Linked DNA regions of Sus scrofa. The protein of the gene in region 2 interacts with the protein of the main gene of each other region in a biochemical or structural test. Links are inferred from orthologs where the notes say so. Each region holds a gene or a part of one and is shown on either strand. Other genes may lie near its edges. The genes, in order: NCS1 and DRD2.

Evidence for each region.
Region 1: the proteins of DRD2 (region 2) and NCS1 form a complex in vitro, tested with the Homo sapiens proteins (2 studies listed by BioGRID, with this or other methods). The link is inferred for Sus scrofa from reciprocal best matches to the Homo sapiens genes DRD2 and NCS1.

The regions. Positions count from the first base shown.
Region 1 is NC_010443.5:270,311,284-270,322,955, forward strand, and holds part of NCS1 (neuronal calcium sensor 1), read left to right. Parts: intron 1-2,637; coding exon 2,638-2,776; intron 2,777-4,298; coding exon 4,299-4,377; intron 4,378-5,695; coding exon 5,696-5,784; intron 5,785-6,133; coding exon 6,134-6,211; intron 6,212-9,028; coding exon 9,029-9,127; 3' UTR 9,128-9,145; intron 9,146-11,672. UniProt on the Homo sapiens protein: Neuronal calcium sensor, regulator of G protein-coupled receptor phosphorylation in a calcium dependent manner. Directly regulates GRK1 (RHOK), but not GRK2 to GRK5. Can substitute for calmodulin. Stimulates PI4KB kinase activity.
Region 2 is NC_010451.4:41,076,446-41,088,783, forward strand, and holds the start of DRD2 (D(2) dopamine receptor), read right to left. Parts: upstream 6,944-12,338; 5' UTR 6,930-6,943; coding exon 6,645-6,929; intron 1,615-6,644; coding exon 1,505-1,614; intron 225-1,504; coding exon 88-224; intron 1-87. UniProt on the Homo sapiens protein: Dopamine receptor whose activity is mediated by G proteins which inhibit adenylyl cyclase. Positively regulates postnatal regression of retinal hyaloid vessels via suppression of VEGFR2/KDR activity, downstream of OPN5.

The DNA.
Region 1 (11,672 bases), on a different chromosome or scaffold from region 2:
TCCCCACCAAGGCAGCCTCCCTGCACCCACCTGCTGAGCCCACCGCAGGCGCTCAAAGTGCTGACAGCTCCCAGCGAGCACGCCCCGTCGAGGCAGCCCCACCTCCGTCCCCCTCCACCAGGCCAGGAGTGGCTCTGGGTGCCTTTTTTTCTCCTTTATTGTTTCTAATAATCTTTTAGACTCACTCAAGTAACACAGCCATTGTGGGGGGTGGGGGGAAGGTCTGGGGGAACATGCCAGGGGAGGGGAATGGCCCCATCCGGACCTCCAGGGCTGGCTGTGCCCACACATGGGTCCCCTCCTCCTGCCCAGGCCCCCAGGTCTGGACTCCTCCCTGGTTCTGGGTCCTGCCTTGCTCCTTTCTGACCTCTGGCCTCAGTCACTTAGCCCCAGAATTCCCCAGGCTCCCTCTTTCTGGTGCCCTGCGTGTGTCCCTTGCTCAGCCCAGGCCCCTGAGACGGTTCTCTGACGGGAGGGGGGACAGTGGCTTCTCCACACACTCCTTCTGTTTGGTCCCCAGTCACGGCACCACCAGCAATTCTCTGGACATGACGGGCAGCGTGGAGTCTTCTCGGGTGCCCTGGGTGGGCCCAAGGACCTTGGGGCAGGCGGGGACGTCCTTGGCAAGCCCGTGTCTCTGAGTGTCAGGCCCCGTCAGCCGTCTGCGTCAAACCCTGCCTTGGCTCCAGTCTGGGCTGCGAAGACGTGCACATCTCCCCGTGTCGGAGCCTCCGTTTCCTCATCTTTACTTATTTATTTATTTGGTCTTTTTTTTTTTTTGAGGGCTGTGCCTGCAGCATATGGACGTTCCCAAGCTATCAGTTGAATTGGAGCTACAGCTGCCGGCCTATGTCACAGCCACAGCAATGCCAGATCCAAGCCACGTCTGCCACCTGCATCACAGCTCACGGCAACGCTGGATCCTTAACCCACTGAGAAAGGCCAGGGATCAAACACACATCCTCATGGAATCTAGTCGGGTTCATTACCGCTGAGCCACGACGGGAACTCCAGTTTCCTCATCTTTAAAATGGGCTTCATGGAGTTCCTGCTGTGGCTCAGAAGTAATGAGCCCAACTGGTATCCATGAGGACGCAGGTTTGATCCCCGGCCTTGCTCAGTGGGTTAGGGATCCGGCGTTGCTGTGAGCTGTGGTGTAGGTCACAGACATGGCTTGGATCTGGCATTGCTGTGGCTGTGGTGTAGGCTGGCAGCTACAGCTCTGATTCGAACCCTAGCCCGGGAACCTCCATATGCTATAGGTGCACCCCCCAAAAAAAAATATAAAGTAAAATAAGATAGGCTTCATCGTAAGTACTTGGCTCATGGGGCTGTTATGGGCGTTCCAGGAGAATGAGATTTGCAGTGTTTCTGGCAGGGAGAGGCCCAGCGGAGGTCGTAGCTGGTAGCGGGTAACAGCCAATCAATCCTTCTCTCTAGCCTCCCTTTGTGCTGGGAATCCTCCTCCAAGGAATGTGTGGCCCGACTGGAATTGCCGAGCCACATGCAGGAGCCAACTTGTGAAGTGATTTAAAGAAACATACACTAAAAATCATGATATTGGTTATTATTATTATTATTTTGGCTTTTTTAGGGCCACACCTGTGGCATATAGAGGTTCCCAGGCTAAGGGCTGAATTGGAGCTGTAGCCGCCGACCTACAGCAATGCTGTACCCCAGCCGCATCTGCGACCTACACCACAGCTCACGGCAACGCCGGATCCTTAACCCCCTGAACAAGGCTGGGGATTGAACCCGTGTCCTCATGGATACCAGTTGGGTTCATTAAGTGCTGAACCATGACGGGAACTCCAACATTGATTTGTTTTTATGTCTAGCCCTGTGCCAAGGATGCTACGTCATCATCTTACCCAGTCCCCACAGGATGGGTGCAATAGCTCTTCCTGTTTATAGAGGAGGAGGGTTAGGCTCAGAGAGGCGGAGGCACTTGCCTGAGGATGCACAGCAAGCAAGTGGCAGAACCTGGCTTTGGGCTTCGAAGCCCTGTTGCCCTCAGCTGGCCGGGTATCTGAGTGTCCTGTGGTGGGCACTGGGAATGCCGTGTGGACAGGTCGCACTGGAAGCCACGAGCTTGCTGGGCTGCTGTTTACACAGTTCCCTGGGAACAGAGGCAGGGGAGCGGGTGTGTGCACGCTGGGGGGTGCAGTCATGTGGGAGGAGCCAGCTGCCAGCCCCATATGGTGGCTCTGCCCACCAGCACCACCAGCATTGCCAGCCTGCCTGGCTCTGTAGTGCCGGGAGGGGCTCAGTGGAGAAGGTGGGGGAGGTGGGAGTGCCTCGTGCGAGAGAGAGCGAGGCTTCAGGGAGGCTGTTCGTTTGAGTTTGGCTTTAGTCCCCTGGGTGGAACGGGGGGCTGAGTGGCCAAGTGACTCTTATCCTCCTGGTACAGACGAGGCTCAGAGAGGTCTAGCCACCTGTCCCAGGTCACACAGCCAGCAAGAGGCAGAGGTGGGATGAGCCCCCTGCCTGTGGTGTCCAGGTCTGGGCTCCCAAGCCCAGGTGGCACTGTCTGTCTGGACAGGCACTCAGAGTCTCCTGGGTCCGGGGCCCAAGCTCTCAGCAGGTGGGCGTGATGCTGGCGTTTCTTTTACTCTCTCACCTGGTCTCTATTTCCAGGTACAAAGGCTTCATCAAGGACTGCCCCAGTGGGCAGCTGGACGCGGCGGGCTTCCAGAAGATCTACAAGCAGTTCTTCCCGTTTGGAGACCCCACTAAGTTCGCCACGTTTGTTTTCAATGTCTTTGATGAAAACAAGGTGAGCTGGAGATTGACGGGCTGCACCAGCCGGAGCCTCCCCTTCCTGAGGCAGCCTGCTTCCCGGGTACCCGCAGCGTCTCCACACCCACGCGCACCTGCTGATGTTCCCTCTGCAGAAGGAACAACCACGTGTGCACTCACACACACACATACACACACAAATGCACGCTTGCATATACAAAGATGCATACAAATGTACGTGTGCACAAACACGAACACACGTGCACTCATGTAACATACAAATGCATGCATGTGTGTACATTGCATAAACTCACACATGTACAAGGCACCCACAGAGATACATGTGTGCACATGCCTATTGTGCACAGACATGTGTGTACACACCCATGCACACATAGGTACGCCTTGACCTTTTTCTTTTTCTTTTTTTGCTTTTAGGGCTGCACCTGCGCCATATGGAGATTCCCAGGCCAGGGGTCGAATCGGAGCTACAGCTGCCAGCCGACACTAGAGCCACAGCAATGCGGGATCCGAGCCGCGTCTGCAACCTACACCACAGCTCATGGCAACGCCGGATCCTTAACCCACAGAGCAAGGCCGGGGATCGAACCCACATCCTCATGGATACTAGTTGGGTTTGTTACCACTGAGCCACCATGGGAACTCCTTGACTCTTTTCTTACAAAGCGCAAAAGGCAAGTGTCTTCAGGAATGATGACAGGATTTATAATCATAACTTGTATTTACTGAACATTTTCTATGTACTAAGGCCTTTATGTGGATTGTTTGTAGCGAGACCTTAACAAGCAACTACCTGTAAAGGATGCCTTTTAAATGCCCCCATTTTGCAGATGAGGAAACTGAGAATCCCATAATGTGGCATCGTTGATGCCCAAGCATCGTGTTTTCGAGGCTTGTCTGGGTTGGAGTCTGTCCCCTCCTGGTGACAGACGCCCTGACGGGTGGCAGGTCCACCGCTGAGGCATCCGTGGTTCTCCGGCCTCGGTCCCACACCGGCGTTTTTCCTGGCTCCCTGGTGTTCACGGTGGACTTAGTGTAACTTGTTTCTACACTCCGTGTTGTTGGGCGTGTGGGTTGTTTCTACTCGGTCACGCCCTGGCTTTCTCCGCAGGTGGCCCCTGCTGACGGCCACCCTGCCTGGCCCTGGGAAGAACTCTGTCCTCTCCAAGCCTCAGTTTCCTTATCGGCAAAACAAATAGGATCGGACAGTCCAGAGCCCCACCTTCTAAAGCCTCTGTGCCTGTGGTTCAAGGCCAAGGGTCTGAGAGAGGGGATTCTGGGCGGCTCCTGCCCAGAGAGGGTCACGGGCGCTGGGGGTGCCTCTTCCTCCCGCCAGATGTGGAGTCAAGCTCTCCCTCTGGCCTTACCCTGTCCCTCCTGCCTGGTCGGTCCCATTTCTGGCCCTCCCCTCCCCCTCCTTCCCCATCCCTCACCCCTGCGTCTGCTTAGCTACCTGCTTCTGCCCATCACCACCTGCCCAAGGTGCGTCCTGACCGGGCAGCTCAGCATTTACCCCCATCCCTCTCTCCCTGCCGCAGGACGGGCGGATTGAGTTCTCCGAGTTCATCCAGGCGCTGTCGGTGACCTCGAGGGGAACCCTGGACGAGAAGCTGCGGTGTAAGTCCTGCCCGCTGGGCTCCGTCGGGCGGCCGCTGGGTCGTCCTGGGCTGGAGGGAGGCCAAATCTCTGGGCCAGGCCGTCTGTCCAGGACTGAGGGTGGCACAGACGTCCTGCCCTTCCAGGTCGGAGGTGGTTTCCTGGAGGCGGCCAGGCGGGTGGACAGATGGGGCAGGAGCACAGGGCATTCTCGAAGGTGCACCTGGCGCCGGGCAGCGTGCGGTTCAGACCCGGTTCCAGGGCTGGATCCAGCACTCGGGAGGCTGTTTGGATGACTGACGGCGTGTGTCCATTTACTGGTTCACCTAACAGTTATTGACCTAACGTGGCCTCATGTCTGTGCTGGGCTGGAGGCCCGGAATCCACAGGTGTATGAGATCGAGGGGCACCTGCTCTCGTGGCTGTCCCTGTAGCTCAGGGACTTTATCCAAAAGAGCCCATAAAACTGCAGCCGGGGCTGGAAGAGGGAGGTGTGAGCCGATCAGAGAGGAACTGACCCTGTTATGAGTTGGGAGCCGAGCTGGGAAGGGTGAAGCTGGCAGGGGGTCGGGGGGCGGGAAGAGGGTTCCAGGCAGGGGATCAGCATGTGCGAGGCCTGAGGAGGGTCGAGAGAAGGCTACTGGGGGAGAGGCTGCACCCGTGCTGGCGCGAGAGGGGATCTAGCAGGAAGATGAAAGCAGCTGGGCCGGGATTCACTTCCCACTGAGACAACTTCACCGCATCGCATCGGCACCGAGAAAGCACTGCAATTTCTTTCTTTCTCTTTTTAGGAATAAAAGAGGATTTTATTTATGCCAAAGCTCCTCCCCCCTCCCTAGGCATATTATTTTCTTTTCCAAGTTGACCCTAGCTGGATCCAGCATAGTTGTGGAAAGGGGGTGGGCCGAGAGGAGGCAGAGGCAGGGGTGGGGAAGGAGAGGGGTGGCTTTAGGGCTGCTCCTGGGCTCCCTTCTGTCTCTCAGCATCAGCCTCCGAGGCCTCAGCTCTTACAGACCCAGCCCCCTCGGTTTATGTTTTGGCTGTGCCTGCGGCCTATGAAAGTTCCCAGGCCAGGGATCGAACCTGCACCACAGCAGTGACCCAAGCTGCTGCAGTGACAAGGCCAGATCCTTAACCCGCTGCACCACAAGAGAGCTCTGCCCCCTCCTTTTTACATTTACGCTTTTTCAGTAACTAGGTGACATGGTGTGTGTGTGTGTCCCCTGTCTGTCTTGGCGGGATGAATAACGGGGCTGTTGGCGGGGTGCCGAGGGGAGGGGGAGCGGCCGCCAGCCCAGCCCCGGATCAGGGCTCACTCGCCCTGGCTGCTTGACTGCAGGGGCCTTCAAGCTCTACGACTTGGATAACGACGGCTACATCACCAGGAACGAGATGCTGGACATTGTGGATGCCATTTACCAGATGGTGGTGAGAGGCCTGGGCCCTGGGGGTGTGGGGGTGGGGGCAGCAGCAGGGCATCAAACTCAGCGATGGGGCCTGGCCCAGAGGCGGCATCCCCACGCGGCCGCCCTCCTGCCTGGGGTGGGAGCTGGCAAGTGAGGGTCACTGCCTGGGGTTGCTCTGTGCCTCTTGGGGGAGGGCGGGGGCTGCTGATGGGGCTGGTCCAGAGCAGAGGGCGGATGGGGGCACGGCAGGGAGTGGGAGGGAGACGCAGTCTTCACCTGGAACCAGTTCAGGTCTGGGGGGCATGGTTGGGGGCCAAGGGCCCAGAGGGCAGAGGGCCAGGAGCCGGCCCCACCTCGCCTGTCCCCGACAGGGCAACACCGTGGAGCTGCCAGAGGAGGAGAACACCCCCGAGAAAAGGGTGGACCGGATCTTTGCCATGATGGACAAGGTGAGACCCCTGGTGTGATGGCCACTGGTCCAGCCCGCAGACATGCAGGGTTTTAAGTCAGTTCGTCCAACCCTTTTTCCTTAACTCAGCTTCTTAACCTTTTCAGTTTTTGCCACAGACCCCTTTGACATTCTGGAGAAGCTGTCTCAGAATGTTTTTAAGTGCATCAGATAACATTCGTAGGGTCAAAAAGAAAGCTATTTTGGAAGAGACTTATCCCATTTTTTTTGGCCACACCTGTGGCATGTGAAAGTTCCCGGGCCTGGGATTGAACCGGTACCATAGCAGTGACCTGAGCTGCTGCAGTGACACCACCAGATCCTTAACCTTCTGTGCCACAAGAGAATGCCTCAAAATATTTTTTAAAAAGTATTTGTGATGTGGTTTTATATGAGCTGCTTCTTCTTTTTTTTTTTTCTTTTGTCTTTTTAGGGCCGCATCCGCGGCATGTGGAGGTTCCCAGGCTGGGGTCTAATCAGAGCTGTAGCCGCTGGCCTACACCACAGCCACAGCAACGCCAGATCCGAACTGTGTCTTCGACCTACACCACAGCTCATGGCAACGCCAGATCCGTAACCCACTGAGAGAGGCCAGGGATTGAACCTGCAACCTCATGGTTCCTAGTCGGATTCGTTTCCGCTGCACCACGATGACGGGAACTCCCTTTTTTTTGTCTTTTTAGGGCCGCACCTGCGGCATATGGAGGTTCCCAGGCTAGGGGTCTAATCGGAGCTGTAGCTGCCAGCCTACACCACAGCCACAGAAACAAGGGATCCGAGCCACATCTGCTACCTGCACCACAGCTCACGGCAACGCTGGGTCCTTAACCCACTGAGCGAGGCCAGGGATCGAACCCACAACCTCATGGTTCCTAGTCAGATTCGTTAACCACTGAGCCACAACGGTGGCTGATAAGGTTGAGTGGTGGGTTTAACCAGCCCGAATTTCAAAGTGCTGATCTGTCTTCTTGATGCTTTGCAGCAGCTGTGATGTGTTACAAAAATGCTGTGATCTCCACAGCTGACAAAGTCACAGGTACTTCTGGTTCCATGGGGGATTGTCACCTAGATTCATTATGGAAGGAAGCGCTAAATTTCAGTTAGATGTTAGTGAAAAGAAAGACCTCCTTTTTCCCTATTTTAGTTCACAGACCTGCTGAATTCTATCCAAAGACCCCAGGTTAAGAAAGCCTTCTTTTTTTTTTTTTTTTGTCTTTTTAGGGCTGCACCCACGGCTTATGGAGGTTCCTAGACGAGGGGTCGAATCAGAGCTATAGCTGCCGGCCTACACCACAGCAAGAGCAACGTGGGCTCTGAGCCGCATCTTCAACCTACACCACAGCTCATGGCAACGCTGGGTCCTTAATCCACTGAGCAAGGCCAGGGATCGAACCTTCGGCCTCATGGATACTAGTTGGGTTCATTAACCACTGAGCCATGACGAGAACTCTAAGAAAGCCTTCTTTCTAAACGCCAGATCCTCAACCCACTGGGCAAGGCCAGGGATCGAACCCACAACCTCATCGTTCCTAGTCGGATTCGTTAACCACTGAGCCACGATGGGAACTCCCTCTATCAAACTTTTTTAAAAACCTGGAATCACTTTGTTTGAAATGGGAATTTGATATTCTGATGGTAAGGAAGCCTGGTATTGCTTGCCTTAATTAAGTAAAAGAACACAAATGACAGTGACCTTGGGTTTATTATGACATGCTGGCTGGGTACAGGTGCTTGCCCTGGAAGCTATGAGCCTGAAGCCTTACTTTCTTACTTGAAAAAAAAAAAAATGAGATCAGCCCATGTCAGAGACACGCAGGCTCAGACGGCGCTGAGCTCCTGGTCAGAATCAACAGGCGTGTCCACAGAGTGTGCAGCAAAGAACATGAACTTTGCCGCGGAGCTGGCGGGGTCGTTCAAAGTTTTTAACACCCAAAGTGTGAAATCTACCCCCGCCCCCAATTCAGACCTCCCTTATTTTAGGAAGCAAAGCCCACGCTGGAGTCAGACCGGGCCCAAAGCTGGCTTCCCTGGTTAGCAGCCAGGGAACCCTGGGTAGGTGACTGAGCCTCCCCTATAAAAGGGTGATAGGAGCGGTCCCTCTCCTTGATGGCTCTGAGGACCCCGGAGAGCAGGCGTCCTTGGTGACGAGCGGGGCACTCGGCGTCGACACTGTTGTTGGAACCCTCGTCACTCTCTCCGTCTCTGGGGGCTGGACGTGGGGTCGGTGGTCTCTAAGGCCTTTTTCTTTTGCACTCATGGGTTTCCTTGCAAGATGCTTCAGGGGACGGGACGCTGGCCCAAACCCTTTCCTCCCACAGGAGACCCACTAAAGCCCCTCTACATGGCTTCCGTCCAGCCTGCTAGCCGGTCTCCCGGGGTCCAGGGTTGCGTGCTCCAGGAACGGCTTAAATGCCCTTCCAAAGGTGACCCCAGAGACGTGCATCAGGCTCTCGGCCCTGTGGGATTAACCGCCCTTTCAGGGCATGAACAGCAGTGATGGGGCGATTCCGGTCTGCCAAGCACTGTGCACAGCTTGAGCTCAAGGAGTGCTCGCCCCCGTGCCCTGAAGAAGCCGTGCCACTTTGTGCAATCCCCAGACGAGGAAAGCAGGGCCCAGAGAGGTGGGTGGTGTGGCCAAGGTCACCCAGGCTGCATGGGCCCGGGTCTGTCCACGCCTGACTCCTCTCCCCTGGTGAAGGGCGTTGCCTCCCGCCTGACCACCCTCGCTTGGGACCAGCCCTGGGCTGGGCTTGAGGAGGGAGCATCCAGGGCCCAGGCCCCTGTCCCTTCACCTCCAGCCTCCTCTCTCTGCTTGCAGAACGCCGACGGGAAGCTGACGCTGCAGGAGTTCCAGGAAGGCTCCAAGGCAGACCCGTCCATCGTGCAGGCGTTGTCCCTCTATGACGGGCTGGTATAGTCCAAGGCCCAGAGTGGGGTGAGTGGAAGGGGGTGTGGGGCGTGGTGGGGGGTGCTGGGGGCAAACCCAGCCACAGGACACCTAGGGTTTCCTGGGGGTGCTTGGGGGTCTGCCCAGTTGGAGCCTCCATAGTAGGGAGAGACCAGGAGGCAGGGTCTTCAGATCAGCCAGGGCTCCTCTGTTTTTGTCATTTGAATGGTACCCAGCTTCCGGAGTTCCCTTGTGGCTCAGTGGGTTAAGGATCTGGCATTGTCACTGCTGTGGCTTTGGTTACAGCCTTGGTGCAGGTTCGACCCCTGGCCCAGGAATTTCTGCATGCCTTGGGCTGCAGCCAAAATAATAATAATAATAATAATAATAATAATATACTCTTCTTTGATCTTTTTTTTTTTTTTTTTTTTGGCTGCCTGCACAGCATGTGGAAGTTCCCAGGCCAGGGATCGAACCCACGCCACAACTGTGACCATGCTGGATCCTTAACCTGCTGAGCCCGCAGGAAACTCCTCATAGACCCAGATTCAGCCTGAGAGTTGACTTGAAAACCCATTGAAAATCACAGTTCTCGGCCAGGGCCAGGGTCCTGGGCAAAGAGGGCTTTCTCCTTCCTCCCTCCTCTGTCTGGGTGGCTGAAGACCTCAGCTCCTGGCTCTCTTGCTCAGTAGCTCAAACGGAGTTTCTTGTCTCACCCACTTGGATCTGCTGGATGATAACACGCCCACAGAGGCGTCTGTCTGCTGGCAGAGAACTAACCCCTGGGGTCCTGTCCAGCTAGAAACACTGTCGTAGGTGTCTTGTGGTGGATGAATGATGCTTTCTGCTGATTTATATCTAAGAGGAGAACTGTTGGGATGTAGAATACGTGTATGTTTAACTTTAGAGATACTACCAGACCGTCTTCCAACGTGGTGGTACCATCTCCGACTCCCACTCATGTCCTGTGAGTCCGCCAATTGCTCCACAGCCTTGCCAACAATGTTGGATGGTCTCTGTCTTTTAAAATTTCAGCCATCTGGGTGGGCGTGTGGGAATAGCTTGTGGTCACCTTAATTTGCATTTCTCTGATGATTGCTGAGGTCGGGCCCCTTGGCGCCTGTGCATCCCTCATTTTATCGTCATCTTTTGGGAAGCGCTGTCTTAGTTAAATCTGTTGCTCTGTACTGTGGTACTGCAATGCAGCAGCTGAGAAGAACAAACATCGGGAATGTGGGTACAGCTTTACTGGGAGCCTTTGACTTAAGGTCTCCCATGAAGATGCTGTCAAGCTGTCAGGAGGGTGACCGACCACCCCAGTTTGTCCAGGACTGTCCTGGATTTAGCGCTGCAAGTCCCATGTCCTGGGAAACCCCTCTGTCTCAGGTAAACTGGGACAGTAATGATCAGCTGTTGGCCAGGGCTGCAGTCTCATCTGAAGTCTTGGCTGGTGCTGATCCCCTCCTAATCACACTCGTTTGCTGTGGCAGCCTTGCCATGTGGCCTGCTGCACAGGGCTGCCCAGCAAGCTTCCCCCAGGGTGAGCTTCCTAGGAGGGAGGGAGAGAAAGAGAACCCAGAATGAAAGCACAGTCTTTTTATAACCTAATCTTGGGACGCAGCATCTCATCACTTCTTTTTCAAGAATGCCTTGGTTACTTTAGGCTATTTGCATTTCTATGTATGTTTTAGAAACGACTTATAAATGTCCTCACACACACACACACACACACACACACACACAAGCTGAGGATTTGATTGGGATTGAGTTGAATCTACAGTTCAGTTTGGGGGAGAATTTTGGCATCTTTAGAACATTGACTCTTCCAGTCCATGAACATGGTATATCTCTGTTTATTTCAGTCTCTAAAATTTTTTTCTGTATAACATTTTGCCGTTTTTGGCTAAAAGGTCTTTCACATCTTTTAGTAGGTTTATTTGTAGGTATTTGATGGTTTTGATGGTATTTTAAATAGTAATTTTACAGTTATGTTTTCTGTTTGTTTTCTGGTTTATCTAAATTCAATCTTTTTTTTTTAAATTGATCATATGGCTATGGTCTTGCTAACATCATTTATTTAATCTAAGGGTTTGCCTTTGATTCTTTTGGGTTTTCTGTGTTTTATTTCTTCCTTTCCTATACCTCTGCCTTTTGTTCCTTTTTCCTGCTTCCTTGCCCTAGTTGGGCTCTCCAGTTGCATAGGAGTAATGAAGGTGAGCATTCTTGTCTCACTCTGGATTGTGGGGGGAAGCTTTCAATAATTTACCATTAGTTAGGATGTTCATTATAAGTCTTTTGTAGATAGATTTTTATCAGATTTAGGAAGTTTCCTTCTTTTCTAGTTTGCTAATTACAGTTTTTAAAAGTCATGAATGATTTTGAATTTTATCAAAAACACTTTCTGCATTCATCAAGGTGTTTATATGGCTCCCCCACCCCCCCACTTTTTGTTGTTAGTAAGTTACACTGATTGCTTTTTCATGCGAAGCTACCCATGATGTGTTCTTAGGTATCATCAGATTTGATTTGCTGATATTTTGCTTAGGAAGGCTGTCCTGAAGCGTCTAGTGTTGCT
Region 2 (12,338 bases):
CCAGGATTCAGCTCCTTTAGGGTCCTTTAGGGTCCTGCACAGGAGCCGGGGCCAGCTGGGCCCCAGGCAGACGGAGGTAGGACTCACCTGTGTTGTTGAGTCCAAAAAGCAGCGGGCAGGAGATGGTGAAAGACAGGACCCAGACGATGGCGATCATGACGGTGACTCGGCGCTTGGAGCTGTAGCGTGTGTTGTAGAGCATGGGCATGGCCACAGCTGTGTACCTGCAAGGGCGCAGGGTGGGCACCCTGAATCTGGGGTGTGGACCCAGGGACCCCTCACTCCACAACATGCACACAACGGAGATGCTCCGCTTTGGGGGGATGGACAGTTGGTCCACCTCCTGCCTGCTCTCCATCAGCCCTCTCTCCTGTCCCCGACTCGGACGGGGAGGACCATTGGTGATGCTCAATCATGTGCTTAATGACTGACCAGCTACCATTCAATCTTGGACCGCATCTACTACTCCAGACTCCCTGCTCAGATTTCAGGCTTTTTGAGGGACCATGGCCCAGGTCTTTGCACCTTTGAAACTGTACACTGCACTGCACCTGTGTTGGGCCCATGGAGGGTGGAAGTGTTTGTGGGTAGATTGGTAGCCAGGGCCCTCAAAGCAAAGGTTAGGTCTCATTCAGAAGAAAATAATGTCAATGGGAATTATTTATGATGCCCCACATGGCTCTCCCCAGCCCTTCTCAGACATTAGTTCCATGCATCTTCCAAGAATCCTGCAAGAAGAGTGGGGCCAGGACCTCTGGGAGTCCCTGTAGCCTGTGCATGCAAATTAGCAAAAGGCTCCAAAGATACAGCTAAGCAAGGTAAGCACAACCTGGGCCCCGGTGGCCATGGGCCCTGTGCTGGACGTAAAACACACAACCAGAAGCTAGAGCTGCATGTGCACAAGTGGCATCATTTTTGGTTTCTAGACAATGAAACTAGGGTTCTGAGACCTTTCACAATACACCTTGGTCACATAAGAGGTGACAGAGCTAGGGCTTTATTCTTTTTTTTTTTTTTTTTTTTTTTTGCTTTTTTAGGGCTGTACCCACAGCATATGGAAGTTCCCAGGCTAGGGGTTGAATCAGAGCTATAGCTGCTGGCCTACACTACAGCTACAGCAATGCCAGATCCGAGCCTCATCTGTGACCTACACCACAGGGATCAAACCCGTATACTCACGGCTGTTTGTCGGATTCATTTCCACCGCACCACAGTGGGAACTCCACATGCTTTCTTCTGTATACTAGTCCCTGTCTAGATGGTTTTGGTAGCATCCCTGCCCATAAACAGCCTCTGGGGGCAAGGGGGCGGTCTGTCCTCTCCCCGTCAGACACATATGAACCCCCCCACCCCGATATGCATACATGCATACATGTACACACAAACACGTGGACTTGCAAGCACAGCCAGCCTTGGAGCATCATGGACAGAGCCTGATCCTGAGGAGTGGTGGGGCAGCTTAAGAGGCAAATGGTCTGGGTCCCCTCTCCCGCCCTGGGCTCACCTGTCGATGCTGATGGCACACAGGTTCAGGATGCTCGCTGTACACATCATGACGTCCAGAGTGACAAAGATGTCACAGTGAATCCTGCTGAATTTCCACTCGCCCACCACCTGGGGACAAAGCAACATAATGGGTGGACAGCAGAGATTAGGCACTGTCTCTCGGTCTCCTGAGGCAGATCGGCCCCCAGGCTCGCTGGGGGTCTTATGGGACGCCCGCTGGGGAAGAAGAGGGCCAGCAGTTGGGGGTTGTGCCTGGAGTGACTGAGGCTCTTGCCCCAGTCCCCTCCCCTTCTAGACACAGAAGGCCACTTTGTACCAAGAAGTTTGCTGGAAGAAACATGACCACTTACACGAGTGCCTCAGCTTGGAATATTCATCTGTAAAACCCTGGTGTGAACAGCTTGTGATTCTCATGTTACCAGTGAGGAAACTGAGCCACAGGAAAGTGCATGACTTTCAGCTCGGCTTCTGGCCCTGCCCTGGCCCAGGTTTGGGCAGAAGCACCCCCTCAGTGCCCAGCATGGTGCGTGGCACAGAGTCAGGGCCCGGTAAGACTTTGTTAAGAACTACGGTGAAGACAGTGACTCTGAAACAGTGAAGACATTTCTGCTTCTTCTTACATCTGAAGAATGAAAGGACGGCCTGGAAGAGCTTCAGGAAGAGCTGAACGGGCTGGGGAAGGTGTGTAATGGTATATACGTGCAGTGTAAAGAAGGAGTCCAGCTCCTGACAGGAGTGTTTTTCACCTCTCCCTCGCCCACCCCCCCACCCAAAACACACTCATACTCCCCACGCACACACCCACCCCTCCCGTTTACACACACAAGCATGCACGCACGCACACAGCAGGCTGGCCCTGCGGCTGTGGTTTGGAACAGACCCCATCTCTGAGGACAGAGTCAGGATGAGGAGATGCGACTTGGGCTACAACCTATTGGAGAGAAGAGGAGCAGGAAAGCTCCATCCTGTGACCAGAGCAGAGCAGTCCCCGCTCTGCAGGGCACAGCGGGGCAGCGGGGCTAATTATAACATTCATTCTCGGTGCTTCCCTCTTTGCTGCTCTCAGGCATAAAACCAACTGTTGGCGTTTAAATGCAGAGATGGGCATCGCACGGAGGAAATAGCAGCTTTTCCTAGAAGATGAGAAGCCTCTCATGTGGCACTGTCTTCTCTGCAGCTCACATAGAGCGTGGGTTTCCAAGCTCTGGCCAGGCGGGCAGGCAGGAGCTGGATGTCCAGGGGGCACAGAGGTTGAGGGGGGGGAGAAGGGGCTTCCCTGGCATCAACGGACTCTACCTTTAGGGCACCACCTGCTCTGTGCCACACCTTGATGCCCTCCTGGGACTACAATGTCCCAGCTGTTTTCATGCCCCTGGGGATCTAGGTCTGAGCTACCGGGCAATCTTCTTCATCCTCCCTGCCTTCCTTCTTTCTTCCATACACTTATTGGGCAATGTACTGTGTCCGGCTCTGTCCTAGACTCTGGGCACAGTGGTGACAATCCTGACACAGTCTTTAGAGAGCTCTCAATCCCACCCCCCACAAAGCCTTCTGGAATGGAGCTCAGAAGAAGGAGGTCTTCCTCTGAGGTCCCAGGAGAAACTGCTCTGGAATGCAGTTGGGGGCCGTTGAATCAAAGGCACACGAAAGTACGCTGGTGGCCAGCAGTGATAGAGCATCGACTGTGGCACGTGCTTTACCTCACTTATTGTTCCGTGCAAGAGAGGGTGGCTTATGCCCCTCGCGGGGTGGGGGGATGAAGCTCAGAGGGTGCACCCAGCTGGCATGCAGCAGGGCTGGAGTTTGCAGCAAGTTCTTGGGGCTGGACATCCTATGATGTCTCCCGCGCTGCCTTGGAAGGGACCGTGTAGCTTGTCGAAAGAGGAGATGCTTATGTGAAACACACAGAGGGATAGGAGCAACTGTAACTGCAGGAGAGACGAACTTGGGGTCGGGGAGGAAAAAGGACTTGCCCAAGATCACCTGGTGATTTAGTAGCAGAGGGAGGACCAGCCCCCAGGTTTGCTGGTCCCCCCTCCTCCCGACAGTGCTGTTTCCTCCACACCTTTGGACACCCTTCACCAGCATTCTCGCTCACCTGAGACTGAGACCTGCAGGACGGGCCTCCAGCTGGCTTGGCTAAACCCTGACATTAACTAGCACACACGAAGCATTTACTGTGTGTCTCACACACACGGTTCTAAACGCTTCACACTCATTTCTGTCTTTTTTTTTTTTGCCATTTCTTGGGCCGCTCCTGCGGCATATGGAGGTTCCCAGGCTAGGGGTCTAATCGGAGCTGTAGCCGCTGGCCTACACCACAGCCACAGCAACGCCACATCCAAGCCGAGTCTGCAACCTACACCACAGCTCATGGCAATGCCAGATCCTTAACCCACTGATCAAGGCCAGGGATCGAACTGACAACCTCATGGTTCCTAGTCGGATTCATTAACCACTGTGCCACGACGGGAACTCCTTCACACTCATTTCTATGGAATGTGACAGCAGACCTCGGAGGACACCGCTCCCCAAAACCTCAAGCCAGGTACCTCCCACCCCCCAAGAGTCCCCTACTCCAGGGCTTTGCACACTTTTTCTCTGCCTGGAGTACAAGCGCCTTGCTCCCTCTCCTGGATAATTCCAGGGCCTTGGACTCCAGCCCCAGGGTTGGGCAGGATGCAGATGTGCTCCTACACGTTGACTGAGTAAATAACTGCGAGCTTAGTGGGCTCACTTTCTCAATCACATCTGCTCCTCTGGAAAGTGGACCCCGGAAACCCTCCGCTCAGAGCGCTGTGAGGCTGAAATGGTCCAGGCAGACAGGTGGGCCCTGGCTCTCTTCTCTCACCATCCCCAGATAGAAAATGGTAGAGTCAGGAATTGAAGCCAGTCCTCTCACTCCAAAACCAATGTGCTTTCCACATGCTGAGCAGGATCAGTGATGCACAGCCGGTCCACCTAGCCGGGTGCCAACGTGGCAGGCTATCAGAGGCATCTAACATCACTAGAAATGGAGCAGGATGGAAAATTCTGGACAACAAGGGTGTCTCTTAGAGAGGGTACAGTGTATAGTTGAGAGGATGCTTTAACAGGAGGTTGGGATGGAGTGGGACTCCGCTTGGGACAGTCTCTAGGGACAATAAGTAGCGGAGACCATGTTGAGGGCGGGGCCCACTGTCCAGCTCTCGTTTTGATGGGAGAGTTTGAACACTGCCCGCCGAGATGCTCTTCTCCACCCTCTCCTAAAACTCTGAGCTTCACCTTTAAATGATATGAATGGGTATGTTTAACCCATCTGCGTGAAGGACCTCCAGGTTCCCGGAGTCCTCGTGTGCAGATTTTGCCCTCCCTTAGAGCGTCTGGGAAGTCCCAGAACCTGTGCCCAGAGCCCTGGGCAGAGCATGCCTCTCCCTGGCACCCTCTTTGCCTGGGCACAGGGCGGGGCCTTCGATGTGCAGCGGCAAGGCTGTCTCCTGCCATCTTCATCTTCGTTGTCATGGCTACTTTCACACAGTGCTTGCTCTGTGCCTGCTGCCATGCTAAGTGCTTTTCATATCTCAGCTCATGTGATTCTCAAACAACACTATGACGTAAGCATCGTGATCCTCTCCGTGTCAGAGAGAGGTTGTTGGCTTGGCCGCTGTCATTTCTGCCAGATGGGCTGAGGCCTGGGAACCTCCTTTATGAGGGAGCAGGAGGGGAATGGGCCCAAGAATCAATTCCCTGGGGATCGGCCATCAAACAGCACACAGGATGAACAGAGCCTAGGGGTCCCTACAAACGTGTGGTCATGGAGGAACTGGACCCCTGGCTGGCGGTACCTGCATGTTTTTAGGTTGTATTATATCTATTGTTTGGTTCTTGTTGATTCTCTCTTAAAATTCTGGTCATCTTGAAAGTTCCAGCCTGGCTGGACTAAAGGAAACCAAGGGAGTGATGGCCCAGAGCTCCCTGTGGGCCAGCGTGGTAGTGACAACAGGTGGCCCAGGAGTCTCTGGGGACGTGGAGGCAGGGAAACCACCCCCTCCTGCCATCTCTGCATCTTCTCCCAGAGGCTTCTTCTCCGCTCAAACTACGAACGTTCCGTGTTCTCTTTGAAAGGTGGCAGCCCTTTCCTCCTAGGCAGGGGCTTCCCTCCATGGCACAGGTACACCCCCTCTTGTTCAAGGCAGGGAGGTAATGGCGCAGAGATCTCAGTGACCCTGGCGTTGGCTCTTCTCGGAATGCCCGGTCAGCCTCCTCTGCACCCAGACTCCCAGGACCCCGGGCAGCAAAAAGGACAGGATCCAGCCTGTGCCCACCCCAGTCCCCCAGACCCTCCCTCCTCTGCCTGCCAGCTCAGCAAACTGTCCTCCTGCACATGAATCCCCAGTTCAGGGTTCCTCCCTTTGCCGTGTGATCGGGGTGAAGACGGGCAAGTTCTCAAAGCTTCTGCTTTCTCTTCCTTAAAGTGAGAAGATTGGTATCGACTCAGGATCACTCAGTGTATTTGCTGAGTGTGTGTCTGTGACGCACCTGTGGCCCCCCTCGGGGGCTGCCTACTCACTATTCTGGGCACAGAGCTGGGCTCTGTTCTCAGCCAAGCAATGGGTCACCATGGGGTCCCTCCTGAGGAGAGGGGGGCACAGCAGGGTTCACAGCAGCCTGTGGTGAACAGCGGCCAGAGGTCCCAGACGCAGGCTAGGACACACGGCGGGGAGGAGAGCCTGGGGCGGCAGCCCCTGTTTGGAAGTGGGGAGAGGGGTGAAGTTGTCAGGCCTGGGAGCCCAAGGCTCTCCCTTTCTTGGGGATCCTCATCTATGACCCCCCTTTTCAACATGACCTCGTGAACCAATGCTGGGGCCTGAGTTCCAGCCACTGCGGGAGGCTGGAGAAGTCACCCAACTCCCTGACGCTCTGGCTCCCCATCATAAGCTGCTGCGAGGACGCAGTGGGAGGATGCTGTGGGTCACGGACACACCAGGCCCGGCCCTCAGGAGGCACCCCGTACCCGGTAGCTGGGATCTACCCATTTTATAAGACCGAGGCCAAGGTTCCAAAGAGACCGCCGGAGAAGGCGCACTCTCGGTAGGAATCACTGAGGAGCCCAGACCCTCCTGGGGAGGGCGGTGGAGCAGGTGGGGGCCCAGACCTACCTCCAGGTAGACCACCCAGGGCATGACGAGCGTGGCCACCAGGAGGTCGGCCACGGCGAGGCTGACGATCAGGTAGTTGGTGGTGGTCTGCAGCGCCTTCTCGCGGGACACGGCCATGCACACCAGCACGTTGCCGAAGACGATGATGAAGATGAGCAGGGTGAGCAGCATGGCATAGTAGTTGTAGTGGGGCCTGTCGGCCTTCCCTTCGGACCCGTTGAAGGGCCGGCTCCAGTTCCGGCTCTCCAGATCGTCATCGTACCAGGACAGGTTCAGTGGATCCATTGGGGCAGCGGGGCCACGGGGTGGCCAGGCTCTGGGCAGGAGACACGGACACAGGAAGTGAGCAGGAGACCTTGCAAAGCATGCTGCCTGGCACAGAGGGCTCCGGGGCTAAGACCCACCCCTGCTGGTAAAAGAGAATTTGCCAGCCTCAGGACTTGAACTTTTGCATCCCAAAAATTGTCTTGGAGTACCTGTGGTGGCGTAGAAGAAATGAATCTGACTAGGAACCATGAGGTTGCGGGTTCGATCCCTGGCCTCACTCAGTTGCCGTGAGCTGTGGTGCAGGTCACAGATGTGGCTTGGATCTGGCATTGCTCTGGCTGTGGTGCAGGCCGGCAGCTACAGCTCCCACTTGACCCCTAGCCTGGGAACCTCCACATGTGCGACCCTAAAAAACAAAACAAGCAAACAAAAAAAGACAAAAAAATAAATCTTAAAACGTTGGAGCCAGCAACACTTTTCTGCTAACAAGTTCTTTCAGGTAAAACAAATGAGAAAGCACAAATTTTTTTTAAGTGTAATTAAATAAATGAACTTGAAAAGAGCTGATCATTCATTCATCCATTTACTCAACAGATAACTTCTTAAGCACATCCCAGGCCCTACACACTTAAGACAAAGTAGTCAGGAGTTTCACTTCTAGTGGTGAGAATAGAAATATGCCATCATTCATTCTTGATTCTGTAAATATTTATCGAACATTGTTCTGTATAATGCTAGAAACGTAGGCAGGAACAAAATAGATGCAGTTCTCCAGCTCACATTCTAAAAGAAACAATAGCCAATTAACCAAGCAATTAAGTCTAGGAGTCTTAGGCTCTAGGAAATCAAATGGGGAGAGAGACACACACCCGAAGTGTAGGGATTCAAAGAAGGCTTTCCTGCGGAAGCGATGTTCAACAGACACCTAAAGGATGCATAGCAATTTGTCAGGTAAAGACTGGGGAGTCAGGGGAAGGGTCCAGCCAAGGGAAGCCAGATGTGGACATGACAGAGCTGGAGAGTGGATGCCACGTCGGAGGGCTGGCAGGAGATTCGGGATAGCTGGAGCATGGAGGGCTTGGCAAGATTTGAACTGGAGGCTGCAACAGGCTCAGTCATGGAGGTTAGACTTGACCTTAAGGGAAGCAGGAGCCACGTGAGCAGATTTGCCTTTCAGCAAGAAGAGTCCAACCGCTATATAGAGAATGAAAGCGTGGTGCTAAGTGGGGTGGCAGGCCCCCAGCCGGGAGGCTGTAGGAACCCAAGAAGAGCTGATGAGGTTCTGCATTTGTGCACTGAGAGCCCTGATGAATGGGCAGCTCATCTCGGGGGAAAAGACTTCCTGAAGGAGGCATCACTGGAGATCAAGTAGAAGGAGGAGGTAGCCAGGCAACCGTGTTGGGAGAGATGTTCCAGCAGAGCACACAGCACAGTCCCAAACAGCAAATAATTCTATGTGGCTAAAAATGTAGGGCATGATGGTGAAGCTGGGGAAAATTAAACTGGAGGACCATTCGTGGGCCAGATCAGGTCTTATAAGCTCGGAGCCGCTGGGTACAGAGGAATGAGAACACCATTGGGTTGGTGTTTTGGAAAGGTTGCTGGCTGTGCAGTGCAGAGGGGATGTTACAGGGGTGTGAAGTCATGGATACAATTCAGGTAAGAGGTGGGGGTTGTCTGAATGAAGGCATGGGAATAAGCGTGGAGAGCAGGGTTGGGAGTCAGCAGCTAACATGAAAGTCAATTTCGTGGAATCTGGCCATTGGGTAGATGCAGGGTGCGAGTGGGGCTGGAGGCAAGCAGGGAGAAAAGGAGATGAGATGACTCCAGATTTCTGCACTGGGTTCTGCTCTGAGAGGCTTGGCGATGTTGCTCACTAAGAAAAAAAAGCAGAGGGGCTCAGAGGCAGGCTTGAGAGGCAGCGGGCATTGATGAGCTTGACAGCCTGTGTTTTGGTTGTGATTGAAACATAATGCACATATAACATGGTTGGCTCTCCTGCTAACAAAAGTGTTCCTATTTCACACAGCGGAACGAAACGATCAGTATTTCAAGCATTCCACACAAAGCCCCACGACTTCTGGGTGCTTTGTTACCCAAATGGCAATTTATGCCATTTGGTTTGAAGGTGGTACCATGTCCAGATCAGAGAGGAGGGCGCACCAGCTACAACAGGTCAGAGGGGGCCCCTGGAGAAGGTCTGCCCACCTCCACACCTTCATCCCTCTGACGCACCTGCTCTGCCAGCTCTCAGAAGATGGATGATGTCCAAGCCAGCACCACCACTCTGGAGCCCCTCAGAGAAAGAAAATGCCTAATGTCACCCATGCAACAAGGCTACCAGCTCCAAGGTTGTGAAGCACCGGGTAATATTGACCCTTCACTCTGCCAAGCCCACTGGTGCCTCTTTGCAAGTGGAACACACAGCAGGAGACCTGTATGAATGTATTGATCAGGCAACAGGGGCTGCTCCTGCCATTCATTTACTCAATCAGCATCTAATGAGCTTGCTGGGCAAGAAGCACTGCCAGGAGCCTGGAGACCTGGAGGCACACTCCCTTCCCCCACCACCCTGATGGCCCCTCTCTGCCCCTCCTCCCACATCTTTAGCTCCTCTCTGGAAAGGGCTCGAGGCATTTAATGAGGACTCGCAGCTCCTGTCTCCCTCACCCCACCCACTCCCCATGTCCAACCAGACCTCTGTTTCTGCAGCACGATCCGATCCTACGATAGTAACTTCATCTACTTGAAAGGATCTGATAGTTTGCCAAGTTTAACATATATATGCTATCTCATTTATCTTCAATAACCTTTACGGCTTGTGATTCTTATCGCCACTCAACACATCAGAAAAGTTTTCTAGAAAACTTCTTTTCCCTTGCCCCTACCGGCCAGTCCCTACACGTCTTTCAAAGCAAGACTTGCTCAGAGCCCTTCTGCCCTAGAATCCATCCCAAGTCCTCCTGGCTGGGCCATCTCCCTCCTTCCTTGCATGGATTTGTTTCCGGTTCTGTTCCAGAACATTCTCCCTCTGTACATCTCTTTTGTTCATGGGGGTGTAGTTATCTCAAGGTTTACACTGTGTCTTGCCCATGTCTTATTTTCTTTATGGGCTAAACTCTCTTGTTTTTCTCTTCCAGCTCCTAATGCTGTGATTTGCAGATAGTAAGTGTTTAGTAGCTGTTTGCAGAACTGAATCAAAATCTCTGTGAGTCCAACTGGGAAGAACCCCCTACCACACACCACACACACACACCACACACACACGCTTGAAATGTAACTGCTAACAGAGCCCATCAGATGAACAAGTGACAGATGAGGGATGCAGCCCAAGAATATCATGCGTGTTACATGTTGGTCAGAAAGCAGACCAAGGAGAATTCGGCATGTGGGGGATCCACTGGAGGGCGCTCTGGGGATTAGGACTTGCAGGGCAGTGAAGGAAGCAGGACAGGGCAGCAGAGAGGTTGAACTGCTTCACAGTCACAGCAGAGGCCTCAGGTGACACCCCCTGCGAGCCTTGCACAGTTGCTTGAATTAACGCAACACAGTCAAAACTTTGTTCCTCAGACTTGTGGTTGCCAAGGGGGAGGGGGAGGGAGTGGGATGGATGGGGAGTGTGGGGTTGGTAGATGCAAACGATTACATTTAGAATGGATAAGCAAAGAGGTCCTGCTGTACAGCACAGGGAGCTCTATCCAGTCTCTTGGGATAGAACATGATGGAATATTGTATGAGAAAAATAATGTGTGTGTGTGTGTGGTGTGTGTGTGTGTGTGTATGACTGGGTCACTTCGCTATACAGCAGAAATTGACAAAACATTGTACATCAACTACACTTTAAAAAACAAACAAACAAAACCTTCATTCCTGGAGTTCCTGCCATAGCTCAGTAGTAACGAACCTATTATTCATGAGGATTCAGGTTCAATCCCACTCAGTGGGTTAAGGATCTGGTGTTGCCATGTGCTGTGGTATAGGTCGCAGATGCATCTCAGATCTGGCGTGGCTGTGGCTGTGGCGTAGGCCGGCAATTGCAACTCTGATTGGACCCTTGGCCTGGGAACTTCCATATGCCCGTGGGTGCAGCCCTAAAAAAACAAACGAACAAAATCTTCATTTCCTCCCATAACATCGCAGATTTTGAGATGCCCCAGGCAAAGGGCATGACCTTGAGAGAGGCATCTCTCCTCAGCAGTGGGACCATCACTGAGAGGGTGGACCCAGATGCAAACAGTTGCCAGCACTCCCAGTCACGGAAGGCTTCCTGGAGAGGGGAGAACTTCAGCGGAGACTTACATTACTTACATTACAGGTACAATGTCAATGGCAATTGCAAGGGGGTGGGGGGCGCGGGGAGGGGTTGGGGTGAGTACATAATCCTCTGTGGTGCTGGTTACTCTGCAGAGCAAGTCTCACCCAAGGCTGCAAAGGCCTCATTGCATTTAATTTTCTAATGGAGCATTTATTCTCAATTGCTCTTGTTGCTTTTTGCTGATACAAATGTAATATAATTACACTATAGAAAAAAGTGGGAAAATACGGAACATGCCTAAATGCCTGTAGAGCCTATTAACCAGCGGCCAGAGTGAGCCCCAGCCCCTCCTGGGTCCTCAGCAAGCTTCCTAATTGGGGCTGACGTGTCTCACCCACGGGGCTGCCTGGCTAGCTGTCAGAGAGCATCAGGCCAAGGGGGGGTCCTGGTGTCAGCAAATCCACCCCCACTGATGGGGTGGCACAGGGGAGACTAGTATAACATAGGGGGCTGAAAACCAGGACACCTGGTGCAACCCCAGCCCTAGCCTTACCGGTGCTTCCTTACTTACAGGGTCTTGACCTGATTATTTGGCTTTCCTGAGCCTCAGTTTTCCCATCTGCAAAATAGGGAAAGCAATTACTATCGTGAGGATTAAGTAAGATGATGCTTATGCAGCTGGCACAGGTAAACCTTCATGGAAAAACCAAATCTTTAAAAAAAAAAAAAAGGAAAAATAATTCAAAGAACCAAGCCATCAGACAACAAGCCTAAGGCTCTGAGAAATGAGGTGACAGGAGCTGTCCGAATACAGCCTGTCAGGGTCTGTGGTCCTGCTGGACTCCTCCTGTGACACCCTTTTGCCTCCTGTGGCTTGTTCTTGGAAAGGAGGGGTCTAAACCAGGGGAGAAGGAGTCCCAAGATGCAGCAATCGACCCCCTGGGGAGTGGGGAGGGATGAAGGAAAGAAGAGGTAACGTGTAGCCCTGAGCCACAGGTGCAGAAGGATGCAGCAACTCAGGATGGGGTGGCAGCCCTCCCAGCCCACCTGCTATAGCAGAGACTAAGAGCATTCGCTATATCTTGTAGACTCTAAGACAGGATTAAATGTAAGATGCACCATTTCCTACCACCAGGAAAGAAAAAAAATGCCATCAAACTCTGATACAGCTT